Linked DNA regions of Saccharomyces cerevisiae S288C. The gene in region 1 interacts genetically with each later gene. Each region holds a gene or a part of one and is shown in the gene's direction. Other genes may lie near its edges.

Region 1 (4,386 bases):
TATCAAAGTGAAGACCGCTCGCTGGTATCGAAGTATTTCTTAAAGCCATTTTGGCAAAGATTTTGTCACATATTTCCCACGTGGATGGCGCCCAACATCATCACATTATCAGGATTTGCTTTTATAGTTATCAACGTGTTGACTGTATTCTATTACGATCCAAACCTTAACACAGATACGCCTCGCTGGACATATTTTTCTTACGCTTTAGGTGTATTCCTATATCAAACGTTCGATGGATGTGATGGTGTACACGCTCGCCGTATCAATCAATCAGGACCCTTAGGAGAACTATTCGATCATAGTATTGATGCCATTAATTCTACTCTGTCTATTTTCATCTTCGCATCCGAAACTGGAATGGGATTTTCGTATAACTTAATGTTATCCCAATTTGCGATGCTGACGAATTTTTACTTAAGTACTTGGGAAGAGTACCATACACACACATTATACTTAAGTGAGTTTTCTGGACCCGTGGAAGGCATCCTGATTGTTTGCGTTTCATTGATACTGACAGGTATATACGGAAAACAGGTAATCTGGCATACCTACTTATTTACAATTACAGTTGGTGATAAGGTAATTGATGTAGACACTCTAGATATTGTTTTTTCCCTAGCTGTTTTCGGTTTGGTTATGAACGCATTGTCTGCGAAAAGAAACGTGGATAAGTATTATAGAAACAGCACTTCTTCGGCCAACAATATCACGCAAATTGAGCAAGATAGTGCTATAAAAGGTCTTTTGCCCTTTTTTGCCTATTATGCAAGCATTGCTTTACTAGTGTGGATGCAACCAAGCTTTATTACACTCTCTTTCATCCTTTCCGTTGGTTTCACGGGAGCATTTACCGTCGGAAGAATAATCGTTTGCCATTTAACTAAGCAGAGCTTTCCCATGTTCAATGCACCCATGTTAATTCCTTTGTGCCAGATAGTATTGTACAAAATATGTCTATCCCTTTGGGGAATTGAGTCTAATAAAATCGTCTTTGCCCTATCTTGGCTTGGGTTCGGTCTCTCACTAGGTGTTCACATTATGTTTATGAATGACATTATCCATGAATTTACTGAGTACCTGGACGTTTATGCTTTATCCATCAAGCGCTCCAAGCTGACATAAATCGCACTTTGTATCTACTTTTTTTTATTCGAAAACAAGGCACAACAATGAATCTATCGCCCTGTGAGATTTTCAATCTCAAGTTTGTGTAATAGATAGCGTTATATTATAGAACTATAAAGGTCCTTGAATATACATAGTGTTTCATTCCTATTACTGTATATGTGACTTTACATTGTTACTTCCGCGGCTATTTGACGTTTTCTGCTTCAGGTGCGGCTTGGAGGGCAAAGTGTCAGAAAATCGGCCAGGCCGTATGACACAAAAGAGTAGAAAACGAGATCTCAAATATCTCGAGGCCTGTCCTCTATACAACCGCCCAGCTCTCTGACAAAGCTCCAGAACGGTTGTCTTTTGTTTCGAAAAGCCAAGGTCCCTTATAATTGCCCTCCATTTTGTGTCACCTATTTAAGCAAAAAATTGAAAGTTTACTAACCTTTCATTAAAGAGAAATAACAATATTATAAAAAGCGCTTAAAATGAATGAAATGGAAAACACAGATCCAGTATTACAGGATGATCTCGTATCCAAATATGAGAGGGAATTAAGCACAGAACAGGAAGAGGATACGCCTGTTATCCTTACGCAGTTGAATGAAGATGGCACCACTTCGAATTATTTCGACAAAAGGAAACTAAAAATTGCCCCTAGATCAACACTACAGTTCAAAGTGGGACCTCCATTTGAATTAGTGAGAGATTATTGTCCAGTCGTTGAGTCTCATACCGGAAGAACACTAGATTTACGAATTATTCCAAGAATTGACAGAGGGTTCGACCATATTGATGAAGAGTGGGTAGGTTATAAAAGAAATTATTTTACCTTAGTATCAACGTTTGAAACGGCAAATTGTGATTTGGATACTTTTTTAAAGAGCAGTTTTGATCTTCTCGTTGAAGACTCTTCAGTAGAAAGCAGATTAAGAGTGCAATATTTCGCTATCAAAATAAAAGCTAAGAATGACGACGACGACACGGAAATCAATCTCGTCCAGCATACAGCGAAACGCGACAAAGGTCCTCAATTTTGTCCTTCAGTATGTCCGTTGGTGCCTTCCCCTTTGCCAAAACATCAAATCATAAGAGAAGCTTCAAATGTTCGAAATATCACTAAAATGAAAAAATACGATTCCACTTTTTATTTGCACAGAGACCACGTTAATTATGAAGAATATGGAGTGGACTCTTTATTGTTTTCCTATCCAGAAGATTCTATTCAGAAAGTTGCCCGTTATGAAAGAGTTCAATTTGCTTCATCAATTAGCGTGAAGAAACCATCCCAACAAAATAAACACTTTAGCTTGCATGTAATTTTAGGTGCAGTGGTAGATCCAGATACCTTTCATGGGGAGAATCCCGGAATTCCTTATGATGAACTGGCTTTAAAAAATGGATCAAAAGGGATGTTTGTGTATTTGCAAGAAATGAAAACGCCTCCTCTTATTATTAGAGGAAGATCACCTTCTAACTATGCGTCATCTCAGCGAATAACTGTGAGAACACCGTCGAGTGTCAATTCCTCACAAAACAGCACAAAAAGAAAAATGCCATCAATGGCGCAGCCGTTAAATGAAAGTTGCTTAAATGCAAGACCTTCGAAAAGGCGATCCAAAGTGGCGCTAGGTGCACCGAACTCTGGGGCCTCCATCTCGCCTATCAAATCTCGTCAATCCACACCAATGGAAGCTTCGAAGGAAAATGAGGATCCGTTCTTCAGGCCAAATAAAAGGGTGGAGACTCTTGAACATATCCAGAACAAACTGGGTGCTTTGAAAAATCAATGTCCAGATTCCTCTCTGAAATATCCGAGTTCATCTTCAAGAGGTATGGAAGGGTGTTTAGAAAAGGAGGATTTAGTTTACTCAAGTAGTTTTTCTGTTAATATGAAGCAAATCGAACTGAAACCGGCACGCTCTTTTGAACATGAGAATATTTTCAAAGTAGGCTCATTAGCATTCAAAAAAATCAATGAATTACCTCATGAAAATTATGATATAACAATAGAGAAGAAATCAATGGAACAGAATTATCTAAGACCAGAGATAGGCTCACGTTCTGAATGCAAAACAAGCTATGGTAACGAACTCTCCCTTTCAAATATTTCTTTCTCTATACTACCTAACTCAGCAGAAAATTTTCACTTGGAAACTGCACTTTTCCCAGCTACGGAAGAGGATGTGCCAAGGACATTTTCAAGAATATTAGAAACAGGTTCGTTTCAAAATTATTATCAAAAAATGGATGCAGAAAATGCAGATAGGGTATATTCGAAAGGGGTCAAGTTGATTGCAAGCGGTACTCTACCATCTGGTATATTTAATAGGGAAGAATTGTTTGAGGAAGATAGTTTCTATAAGTATTAAATAAACTAATGATTTTAAATCGTTAAAAAAATATGCGAATTCTGTGGATCGAACACAGGACCTCCAGATAACTTGACCGAAGTTTTTTCTTCAGTCTGGCGCTCTCCCAACTGAGCTAAATCCGCTTACTATTTGTTATCAGTTCCCTTCATATCTACATAGAATAGGTTAAGTATTTTATTAGTTGCCAGAAGAACTACTGATAGTTGGGAATATTTGGTGAATAATGAAGATTGGGTGAATAATTTGATAATTTTGAGATTCAATTGTTAATCAATGTTACAATATTATGTATACAGAGTATACTAGAAGTTCTCTTCGGAGATCTTGAAGTTCACAAAAGGGAATCGATATTTCTACATAATATTATCATTACTTCTTCCCCATCTTATATTTGTCATTCATTATTGATTATGATCAATGCAATAATGATTGGTAGTTGCCAAACATTTAATACGATCCTCTGTAATATTTCTATGAATAATTATCACAGCAACGTTCAATTATCTTCAATTCGGCTTCAGTACTGTATGAAATACTCGCTAACATTTTCTTTATTCTATAATAGCACAGTGACACTTAAACGTCAAACGTGGCGCACATTAATATACGATGTATGCATTTGGCTTGACACTGCTGTAATAAGGAACATCATCATCCGTCAACTAGTAGTCACATTAGTAGTGTATTATCACATGGTGTGTAAGAACATTACGTAAAGATTGAAAAAAAGTCATCAAAAATAAAGGAAGCTGAAACGCAAGGACTAGTAGTGTAATAGAATAATATTGTGTAAAAGTATCGATACCCTTTTTGGAATTATTGTATCTTCGAGGGTGGCTTTTAATATATTTTTGAAAACCTAATATTATAACCTTTCACAACAACGAAATCCCAA
Region 2 (3,328 bases), on another chromosome or scaffold:
TAAAAAAAAAAACCGGCGCGAAGGAAACGTGCTGGCTCGCTAACTTCTAGTCTTACTGTACTGACTACCTTCCAGTCCTACTGGTTATACTGCATTGTACGGCAACTTACACACCCCACGCACTTACTTTCCTCCACAATGCCATCTAGAAAAATCGATTACCCGCTAATTTTCCGGGAAAAAGTCGATTAATGTAGGTTAGTGGCAGCTATGCTAAGCAATGATAAAGGAACCATACACGATATTTCTACAGAAGGCTATTAAATAGGGTGAAATAGGATGAAGCAACAATCAAAAATTATGAAAGCATCCGTTTTCTCGCTATTCTAATAATGGGACAGAACTGCCAATTCTTGATCTGGTGATCCATACGATTAAAATAGGGGTTCATCGCATGGAAAGTCTGTAAATCACACTTGCCTACCATAAGGAAGTCATCAATTCCCGAATTTTAAACGGGTTTCTATGAGTATTTGGAGGATGTTCATTCTTGGTAACATTACTGATGACATTCAGTGATACACTGCCTTCAAGGAAACACACGCGATAGAGGCAAAACAATGTTGCAACGGCAATTAATTTCTGTCATTGTAATGAATTTCTGCTCGTTGCTTCTAACCATATCTTGTGTAACGCTTGCGTTGATATGCAAAAATAACGAGATGGAATTTGCTGCCCTCTTTCAGCCATATGATGGCGGCAAAAACTTTGAAATTTGTGCACAGGATATAATAAGCTACTTCTTGACTCTAACGCCGTACTACAGTTTACAAAAAATGTATACAAACTCTTAGGATTGGTCAAGAAAAGTAAATGTTGTACTGCTCCAAAGATATTGCGATGCCGTGATAATTCAAAAGGGTCGACCCAGTCTATTTCACTCGCGCGATAATCGTTCGTTATCCGAAGCTGGCCAATTGATACAATTAATTGACATCAGCAGACAGCAAATGCACTTGATATACGCAGCTTAAAGCAAGGGTAAATTATCTGAAAAAGGATTGAATACAATCAAAACCTTCACATACATTGGTAGTAATATCGAGCATCGCTATTAGCAGAGTATCTCGAAGTCTACCACGGCGAAAGTTGATTTTTTATCTGAGGTGCTGATCTTCGGACGCAATGCGCAAACGTAATTCCGTAGTTTTCCCAATTATTTTATTTTTTAAATTACACGTACCAGGTAGATCACATACATATACCCAACACCTGTTATATAGTGAATTGAATTATTCGGAACATCAATAATCCTTTGCTTATAATTCTTGTTATCATCCATCTTGCATCTTTATTTAATTATATTTTGCACAATAAGCTATCTATGTGAGCTGCGTACGGTGACTCCAAACAATCTGTTAATTTCCATATAAATAACTTGTAGTCGGATCGTACAATGGCTCTATATAGGTTTGGACCGGTATGTAACCTAATATGGCTGACTCAAAACCTGCTAGATAGTTATCCAAGTGAATTTGAGTCTCGTATCCTTTATCACATTTTTACAATAGTGGCTAGCTATCTTTTTCATGTTAGGCTCACCCGGTATTCTCATGCAAGATCAAACAAAAAATGGTAAAGTTTTGGACTTTACATTGCTTACAGTTGCTTTTTTATGAAGATTCAAAAGATTATGTCCTCGGCGGCTAAATTTTCCATTAATAATATTATCCTTTTACGCGACCGAAAAAGAGAAGCGTTTTAAGAGTTGTTTCTAACAAATATTAATAATAAAGCTAACGTGAACTGACCAGGCTCTATTTGAAAGATATGGCACCGAAAAAGAAATCAAACGATAGAGCCATTCAGGCAAAAGGCTCAGAAGGTTAAGTATTTTTTTACATGCTCATCAAATACCGCCATTACTAACAATTGTACCCCGGGTATTTTATCAGCTGAACAATTAATAGAAGATTACTTGGTGTCACAATATAAACCATTTTCTGTAAATGATATAGTTCAGAATTTGCACAATAAAGTGACAAAAACAACAGCAACCAAAGCATTAGAAAATCTCGTTAACGAGAAACGCATAGTGTCTAAAACCTTCGGAAAGATTATAATTTACTCTTGTAATGAACAAGATACAGCATTACCAAGCAATATTGATCCTTCTCAGTTTGATTTTGAAACTGTATTGCAACTGAGAAATGATTTAATAGAACTAGAGAGAGATAAATCAACGGCCAAAGACGCTCTTGACTCTGTAACTAAAGAACCTGAAAATGAAGATCTCCTAACAATCATTGAAAACGAAGAAAACGAGTTGAAAAAGATTGAATCAAAATTACAAAGTCTACAGGATGATTGGGATCCAGCAAATGATGAGATTGTCAAGCGGATAATGTCTGAAGATACGCTGCTACAAAAAGAAATCACGAAGAGATCAAAGATTTGCAAAAACCTAATTGCTACAATAAAGGACTCAGTGTGCCCGAAAAATATGAATGAATTTTTGGTATGTATTTTGAACATTTTTCGAGACCTTTTCTTTTGAATATACTAACGAAATCTTTACAGGAAGAAATTGGATTTGAGGACATTTGATGTGAAAAGCAATTGGTTGTTCCGTACCGGAACACTTGCTATTTTACTTATCATGATTGTTTTTTTTTCTTATTCTTTGCTATTATTATCAAATTATATATAGGTAAATAATCTTACACTAGTTTATAAGTGTCACGAACGATGAAATGGAAACTTGGGGGGGAAGGCTCAAAAAACATACTGTGTGTTTATGGGGCTGCCTTTGCTAGTTGTTGAGGGGTGAGAACCGCAATTACTGACAAACGTTACTGATTTGTAATATTCAAAAACTCCTTGCATTGCCTTCCCGTTGGCCAAAATAGTAGTCGTTGACAAAGAGTACGGCGTCGATTCTAAAGTTGGTGAGGGGATTTGCTCGCATATAGTTGTCAGTTCCTGTGCTAAAACTGAAGCAATAACAGAAAATATTGAAAAACAGCGAAGTAACTGCATCTTAATTGAAAATGTATGAAGTAGGTATAATATTTTGGCACACAAGTGACTGTTGAGAGCTTACAATCATTCTAGAATGAGGAATACGTCAAAATGGAAACTTAACATATCACCTCTTCTTACAACTATTTATATTGTATATTTACAAGGGAAATCAATTGCCTGATATTCAGTATATTGGATCTGAAGGTATGAAACAGTCCCTTAATTAAGCTTTAGATGCGGACAGAAGTTTTTTTGTTAAACTTGCATGTCAAATTTCAAACTGCGTGTAATTACCGTATTCGGAAATTACATGGTTTCAGTAATTTTGCAATAAACGCAGCAACCGGTGATGGCGAAGTTTTAC
Region 3 (3,896 bases), on another chromosome or scaffold:
CTTTTAGAATGACGGAAATTTTCCTTATAGATAGCGCTTTTGTTAACTGAAGACTAACTATCCCTGACATTTGATCATTAGAGCTATAAAACTCCCCGTTGTACGGTGGGTTTAAGGATATTGAAATTTTTGGAGCCATGGTTTGACAAACTGTATGGTTCTCAACCTTCTCTAATCAAAAGCAGAATCTTAAATATAAACACTCACAGAATATCCGTTGGTCAATGAAGTAATTCTCCTTTGTACTGGCTGCTTTTTCTCCTCTAGTTTATGTAATTCTACTTTTGGATGGGTGCGACTGCTTTTAATTGATTGAGTGGCGGTGTTAGAAGGGCTGTAGAGTCGAAGGCTTGTTTCTCTCTTACGCACCTCTTGTGAAAAGGGCGTGCACCTTCCCCAGGACCCTCTCTCACCCTCAACCCGCATTTTGCTGAGAATTTTCACCAAGGCCCTAGGTGATATTAGATTCCACCTGACTAATTGCATTACAGCCGACCCAAGGCAATATCAGTTTAATAAAATATCATGTATCTCACCCTCTTCTTGGTATTAGTAAAGAGACGCCTGATCTTGTAACAGTGGTGAAGATTGTACTAGAGCAGAATCAAGAATTTAAAAAGTGTAAAGGCAAGGCAGAGGCGATGTACATAAAACTTCGAAGTAAGAAATATTTAATAGTTCTCGCCACATCACTATGCAGCTATATAAAAACTACTATAAACGTTTGTTTTGTTCCTTACGCACAATATCCTTGCCTAGAAATCGTTTTTGAAATTTAAATTTTTATTACCATTTATTTGATTCGCCTTCAGAAAAATATGGAAGAGTGCATATTTAAAAAGGACTATTTCAGCATATAGTAAAAGTCAGGTTATTTGTTTATTTGCGATATCAGAGTAACTTAAACTAACTATGCAGGGCACTTTTAAAAGGTTTTACCATCCCACGCTTACGCGGATGTCCTTCTTGGATAAATTCCTCAAGCCTATGATGGCAACGGCTTCCCCAAAGGAATACCAGATCAAACAACTGGTCAAGCCAATAGGCTTAACACAAGCACCAAGGAAAAGCACCAAATACTCCCAGGGGAACTCTTTGAGGGATATGTTTGATTCGGAAAAGACAAACCACAGAGTTAAAGAGTTGGCCGTTGAATTCAGCAAATCTGGACTTTATGACGTGCAAGTCTTCCAAAAGACAAAGGGGAAATTGTTTATAGCTCCAGTTTCATATTGGAAAGAAGATAAAGCTTTGTTTTTTCCTCATTTGATAGGAACGGCAATGGATGGTACGAAACAACAGAATATCGAGGATATGTTAAGGGGTAAAACCAGTATAGTGAGGTTATTTAGTACAGCATCTGGCGATAAGTTGAGTAGTTCATACTTCCAAGGAATCGTAGACGATAACAAAAAAACTGACTACTTGACTGAAGCTGATGCGCGTTTAAGTTTAAATGACAGTAACGTCCAAATCATCGAGGTCAATCTTGTAGAAAACGCTGTGAAAAGTGCTCTAGTGAAAACGCTTGCTCGTTGGGCCAATCGCGTTCCATCCTGGCGCCAGCCATTTTATTTCGAATGTTCTAGAGGCCAATGGCCATTTTCCGTCAGGGAAGAGCTCTTTTGCAATAATGTCTTTTCTGGATACGTCTTTCTTGTGGACCAGCAGTTAAAAATTAGGTGGGCAGCTTGCGGGGAGGCTACTCCATCTGAAAAGGAAGCATTGTGGAAGTTTGCCAAACGTCTGTGAAGTTGACGCTTTGTGCGGCGGCCAACAAGGGATGGGCGGCTATTTGGCGATCGTGTTCATTCCCCAAACTAACACGAAGAGCATGAGAGAGAAAAAACAAAAGTGCTTGAAACAGGTAAGACGTTTATCATTGATATCACCAAAGAAATATATAATGCCGGATTCTATTTTTGAACAGCCCTTTGTTTACTGTGGTGTTTGCCACAGAAGAACATCGCATGGAGATCCATTGAGGCTGACCTCATGTGCTCATATCCTCTGTTCGCAGCATTCTCCATTAACATCAAAGGTGTGTCCTATATGCCGTTCGAGCGATATCTCCATCATTAACCTTGTGGAATCTAAACAGCTGCCTACCGACATTAGGATTTTTTTTGAGCCACTGCCCCCACTTTTGGAGTCGTTATATAATGTTTCCCAATTCCAACTGAATGGGCTTTCGAAACAGTGTCAATACTATCAAAATCATTGTTTAAAGTTGAGAGAAAAATGTGCAAGACAACAGCAGCTGCTATATCAGGCCAAAATAGAGTTGGATTCTATGGCGATTCTTAAGAAAAGAATACAGGAATTAGAGTCAGTTTTGAATCATAACAATGTTTCTTCGATGTCAGTTGGTGTGCTACCAACAAGAAATAGCCATCAAAATCATTACCAGCCCCCTCCAACCGTTGATCTGACAGTTGATGATAATAGTTTAGAAGAATTCGAAGCCAAATCCTTTATTAAAAAGTTGAAAAAAAACTCTTCTTTGAGAAATTCTTCAAAAAATAACAATGGAACTGTCACTCCCTCTACAAGTGGTCGTGTAAATAAAAACCAGCCTCTCTTTATGGAGACATTGAATAATCCTAATAGAAATAGCATTCCTCCTCCTGGAATGAACCCAAACGCAAATAGTAATCTACCTAATATTTCGACTATTGCAGAATCAACCAATCTGAACAGATTTTCGTTCTCTCCTGTGCGTGTTGCAAAAGGCTTCGATGGAAAGTTGCCAAATCTTGACATCCTCACGAATAATGGCTCTGTATCTTCCAAAAATATATCAAGATTATCTTCAGCTTCTCTCCAACCCTCTTCGCCTCTATCTTCATCATCAAATAGGCTTATTTTACCAAATAGTAACCTCAAAGAATTGCATCATTCAAATACACCTTTAACAAGTACCTCGACGCAGTTTCCCTCAGCTTTAGAAAAATTAAAAATAACAAGGAAGAGAAATAATACTATCAGCGGTTCGAATAGAATAACACACAACTTGAGCTCACACGTAAGAAGCAGTGGTCTTGCCTTTTCATCTTCATCGAACTCATTGCAACAAAGTAAACTGCCGAAATCAAATATACTAAAGCGGTCCAATTCAACTCAGCAACTGACTAATACACATTTGAAGAGTGATAATCATCTGCCACCTCGCTCAAGTAATACTGTGTTGGGTAGTAGCAAGAAAAACAATAAGTTTAGAAGGATTAGGTAAATAGGTGTAAGGATTCCCCGTGACGAAAACAGCCTTCAGAATAGATAGAGTATGTTACTGTATTATAAAAGTTATTCTATTTTCTTATGTGTTACTATATATGGTATTATTTTAGAAGAAATTTGTCGAATTATGTTCTTCTTAGATCCTTCTTTCCCGCCGTCTCAATACGAAGGCACAAGGAGAGGATTATGAATATATGAAAAGAAAATTGTACAAATAAATAAAACGATGATATGCGCACCTAGGAATAGCAAAGAACACACTCTAAAACGTCTCAACCAAGCACGCTATGTACACACATCTATCCTTCAAACTTATGGGGGTGTTTTAAAAAGCACCTGACTTTTTCAATTGAACATAGCAGGCAACAAATGGAACAGCAAATCCAATAGCGAAGAACCCGAAATGAGATAAGGCGTAAGGTGTCTTTCTTCCTTTGACTTTGAATGGGATATTTTCATACACACCGTCTTTGAAGTGTACTGACCTCTTCATGATAATAGGTCTGGTCATGATATTGCTACTTCTCTTAGCTGTCGTTCTAATCATCTGTTGGCACAACATTGCGTAATGGAAATGGATAACTTTTCTGTTTAGTTTGCTCTGTGGCTCTATCTAGAAAATTAAAGGATACAAAACTAATTAACCATTCTTATAAATC
Region 4 (4,522 bases), on another chromosome or scaffold:
TGACTTCTTGATCTTTGATGTTGGATGATAGATAATAGCCCTTCTCAAAAAGAGTTAACTTATGATACAAAAACGCACAAAAGCCAGTAGAGGCCCTAGGAAAAAGGAAATTTGTGTATACTAAAGACAAGGCCATAAATGGCGGTAAATGAACGCAATTATGATCAAAAAACTCAGGAAAATGCTTCTCATCTAGGTTAAAACACAGTATGGTCGTATTGATGACAAGGGAAAAAGAGACCAAAATGGTTTGCAGGATGTTGTTCTCTAAAACAACGCTTTTTTCCTTGTAAATCAAATACCTCAAGGAATAAAACGTCAACAACAAATTCAAAACCTGCGCAAGCACTTTAATCTCGCACAAAGGAACTTTAGATATTAACTCACTGTCAGTGTAATATGATATTGGGTGGAATTCAGTCTCTACAAAGTTTCTTAGTTTTTTACAATTTTCGGCTAAGTCTGGAAATGCGCTTCTATCATAAATTTGATCTAGCATTGGTCGAGCTAATCTTAAAAACCTTTTAAGCTTGCCCATGCAGGAATTTGACTGATCGAAAAAAACCGTCGATGAATAATTGTTTGTATTTTTAGGCAACCTCTCACCATTCTCGCATTCATCGACTTGAAAATAGGATGAGTTAATCGCCAAACATCTCCCAATATTTAAAGAAACATTGAAATCTGATAATATAATCCAAACCCACAAATTTTCCAAACTTTCCATACTCCCCACAATATTTTCTTGATTTTTGTATATTTCTCTTATATTCAAGTGTAAACCCAGCATAATTGCCGTGCTGCATAATAAGTCAACTAGACTAATCATATGCGAATCGTCTCCACACGCCCAAATTAGTTCTCGATGATAGTATTTCAATAAGAGAAATTGAGCGCGTTCAATGAAATATACTTTAGCTGTTGACAGTCCCGTCAGCATGATGAGAAATTTCTCTATCTCTTCCGGAGTATTTTTGTAGAAATGGCGAATACACAGTATCATCAAAATAACTCCAATCTTATAATAGTTTTTCTTTGTCGATGGTAATAACTTTTCAATCCGCCTTTCACCGTTGGGTAACAGTTCGTCACTTGGAAGAAACGAGGAAGTGAAATCGTTTATTATTTTGGTTTTATCTAATACTTCACTAACTTCATTAGTTTCCAGTTCAGTATTGAAAAAGTCTGTTATAATCTTTGACGATTGTTCAAAAGATGGCAAAACGTTACAAACCTGTTGCAAGATGTCAGAGCCTGTCTTTTCTAACGGCGGTCCCTCTAGGAGTTGAGTTTCTGGCTTCATTGTCCATTTATGCCTAGCCTTCCATCTGTTTCTCTCGATTTTCACTTTGGACCAGAGCTGATTATACGTGTTTACAAACCGATTATCATCGTTTGAGAGATGCGTTCTCAAAGATGTAGGACCATATACTATTCTTCTTCCCGAGCCTTTACATTGTAAATAGTAAAAATTAGCGTAAGGGTTCCTAAATGGGCTCGTACTAAGCGCTACATCCTTCTCCGTCAACTCTTTGTCATCTAGTCTTTTCTCTAAATCCTCAATCCTTTTCAACAGTTCAATGTTCGGAGTACTGCCAAATAACTCTTTTGTTTCTATTTTGTGGGTGAATTTCTCTGTATACAGGCAACCAGAACGACCCCTCGTCTTACAAGTTGAGCACATTGGCTTCTGCTGGTCGCAACGTAATTTCCTTTTCCTACAAAAAGCGCATGACTTTATTGGTTTCCGTCTCTTCTGCGCCTTCTTTACAGTTTCCTCCGATGGGGAAGCTCTATCCTGTAAACTACCCCGCTTACTCATTAACAACTCCCTTTACCAGGACCATTCAATGTGCTTTCCCCTCTGACTTTCTATACTCTTGCCGTTATTATTACAATACCACCTGGCATTTGTCATTTTATCGCCTTGTAAACCATGGGTGTCACCCTACTGCCGAGCCTGAAAAAAACGTGCTGCAAGGGTCTTGAAGCAAAAAGATGATTTAACGGAAGAAAGGCATACAAGAAGGTGAAAATTCGTGTTTAACCCATCTGATACTTTCCCTTGTCTAACGTACTGATCCTGGAGGTTATCAAGAACACAAAAGTCTAGCAGCGAAAAGTACGCGAAGAATCTACTATAGATAATGGTGGTGCAGAAAAAACTTAGGGCTATCTTGACCGATGAAGGTGTATTGATCAAATCGCAATCACACCATATGTTCAATAAGCATGGTCAACTCAGAAGCGGAGATTCTTTATCCTTGTTGAGCTGCTTGTCCTGTCTGGATGATGGAACTTTGAGCTCTGATGGAGGTTCTTTTGATGAGGATGATTCCCTGGAACTGTTGCCTCTTAATACTACCATTCCGTTCAACAGAATTTTGAACGCAAAATATGTGAATGTCGGTCAGAAAGGCTTCAATAATGGCAAAATTTCTTCGAATCCTTTTCAAACGGAAAATCTGAGTTCTTCGTCTGAAAATGACGACGTTGAGAATCATAGTTTGAGCAATGATAAGGCTCCTGTAAGCGAATCACAGTCATTTCCCAAAAAAGACAAGTGGGATACAAAAACGAACACTGTGAAGGTGTCTCCCGATGATTCACAGGATAACTCACCATCTTTAGGGATAAAAGATAATCAACAGTTAATTGAGTTAACTTTTGCTGTACCCAAGGGCCATGATGTTATACCACAAAAATTAACCTTGTTAATAGATCACGTTTCTAGGAAATCGAGAGCAAATACCGGAGAGGAGAACATTTCTTCTGGTACTGTGGAAGAAATCCTGGAAAAAAGTTATGAAAATTCCAAGAGAAACAGATCGATATTAGTCATTATTAATCCCCACGGTGGTAAAGGTACTGCTAAAAATTTATTCCTGACAAAAGCAAGGCCAATACTAGTGGAAAGTGGCTGCAAAATAGAAATTGCATACACAAAATATGCCCGTCACGCCATCGATATTGCCAAAGATTTAGATATCAGCAAATACGATACCATTGCATGTGCCTCGGGTGATGGTATTCCATACGAAGTAATTAATGGGCTTTATAGAAGACCCGACAGAGTGGATGCGTTCAATAAACTAGCCGTAACTCAGCTACCTTGCGGTTCAGGAAATGCTATGAGCATTTCATGTCATTGGACAAATAACCCATCGTACGCCGCTCTGTGCCTTGTCAAATCCATTGAAACAAGAATAGACTTAATGTGTTGTTCCCAACCTTCTTATATGAACGAATGGCCAAGATTATCCTTTTTGAGTCAGACGTACGGCGTTATTGCAGAATCTGATATTAACACTGAATTCATCAGATGGATGGGTCCCGTTAGGTTTAATTTGGGTGTAGCATTCAACATTATCCAAGGTAAGAAATATCCCTGCGAAGTTTTCGTCAAATATGCTGCCAAATCTAAAAAGGAATTAAAAGTTCATTTCTTAGAAAATAAAGATAAAAACAAAGGATGTTTAACCTTCGAACCAAATCCTAGCCCAAACTCTTCGCCGGATTTACTATCTAAAAACAATATCAACAACAGTACAAAAGATGAACTTTCACCGAATTTTCTCAACGAGGACAACTTTAAATTAAAGTATCCGATGACGGAACCAGTACCTAGAGACTGGGAGAAAATGGATTCAGAGCTAACTGATAACTTAACAATCTTTTACACAGGGAAAATGCCGTATATTGCTAAGGACACCAAATTTTTTCCCGCTGCTTTACCAGCGGATGGTACCATTGATTTAGTCATAACGGATGCAAGAATCCCAGTGACAAGAATGACACCAATTTTATTATCCTTGGATAAAGGTTCTCATGTATTAGAGCCAGAAGTTATTCACTCAAAAATATTGGCTTATAAGATTATACCAAAAGTGGAGTCAGGTTTATTTTCAGTGGATGGTGAAAAGTTTCCTTTGGAACCCTTGCAAGTGGAAATAATGCCCATGTTATGCAAGACGTTGCTAAGGAATGGTAGATATATCGATACAGAGTTTGAATCCATGTAGATTAACGTTATATTTTCCTTCAAAAATGATTTTTTTGTAAAAAGAAATACTACATCGAAAAGAAAAGGCGATATAATGTTTCTATCATCGGAGTATGGTTTATATTCCATTTTTGTTTTCATTATAATTATACATCCCCAGTTATATATCATTAATACGTAACAATATTATGAGTTGGTCTTTATTATCTAATATAATTAAAAAATTTACACTATTACATCATTTTCAACCAATAGGATATATATATAAATATATACATATATGCACATTAAATCATTCACTTGGAAGTTGCGTCCTTCAAGCTAACTATTCTATTCAAAATAACCTTAGAAGTCGTACTCTCTTTATCCAGAGTGAAATAACCTACTCTCATAGCTTGGAATCTACACACTTCTTTGGAATCCTTATCTTCTTCAACATAAAATTCCGAGTTTTTAACAGAATCAACGACCCATGGACTGTTCTTGACAACGTCCCCGAAGTTATGTTCCATGACAGAT

What was found.
Region 2: of NDT80 (region 1) and HOP2, a mutation in one rescues a mutant of the other (synthetic rescue), as found in Saccharomyces cerevisiae (one study listed by BioGRID).
Region 3: of NDT80 (region 1) and CST9, changing one enhances a phenotype caused by changing the other (phenotypic enhancement), as found in Saccharomyces cerevisiae (2 studies listed by BioGRID).
Region 4: mutations in NDT80 (region 1) and LCB4 together harm fitness more than expected from each alone (negative genetic interaction), as found in Saccharomyces cerevisiae (2 studies listed by BioGRID).

Annotation. Positions count from the first base shown.
Region 1 is NC_001140.6:354,957-359,342, forward strand, and holds NDT80 (transcription factor NDT80), read left to right. Parts: upstream 1-1,604; coding exon 1,605-3,488; downstream 3,489-4,386. Other genes in the region: EPT1 (bifunctional diacylglycerol cholinephosphotransferase/ethanolaminephosphotransferase), read left to right, coding at 1-1,125; YHR125W (uncharacterized protein), read left to right, coding at 3,902-4,207. UniProt on the Saccharomyces cerevisiae protein: Transcription factor required for successful completion of meiosis and spore formation. Gets activated after completion of meiotic recombination at the end of prophase I.
Region 2 is NC_001139.9:433,855-437,182, forward strand, and holds HOP2 (Hop2p), read left to right. Parts: upstream 1-1,770; coding exon 1,771-1,825; intron 1,826-1,895; coding exon 1,896-2,458; intron 2,459-2,520; coding exon 2,521-2,547; downstream 2,548-3,328. Other genes in the region: AGA2 (Aga2p), read right to left, coding at 2,716-2,979. UniProt on the Saccharomyces cerevisiae protein: Required for proper homologous chromosome pairing and efficient cross-over and intragenic recombination during meiosis. Stimulates DMC1-dependent homologous strand assimilation required for the resolution of meiotic double-strand breaks.
Region 3 is NC_001144.5:906,167-910,062, forward strand, and holds CST9 (SUMO ligase CST9), read left to right. Parts: upstream 1-1,783; coding exon 1,784-3,232; downstream 3,233-3,896. Other genes in the region: ART10 (Art10p), read right to left, coding at 1-139; ATP10 (Atp10p), read left to right, coding at 913-1,752; COX8 (cytochrome c oxidase subunit VIII), read right to left, coding at 3,563-3,799. UniProt on the Saccharomyces cerevisiae protein: Component of the synapsis initiation complex (SIC) necessary for the synaptonemal complex assembly. Stabilizes the ZIP2 component to the chromosomes.
Region 4 is NC_001147.6:651,510-656,031, reverse strand, and holds LCB4 (sphinganine kinase LCB4), read left to right. Parts: upstream 1-2,147; coding exon 2,148-4,022; downstream 4,023-4,522. Other genes in the region: YRM1 (Yrm1p), read right to left, coding at 1-1,822; GLN4 (glutamine--tRNA ligase), read right to left, coding at 4,300-4,522.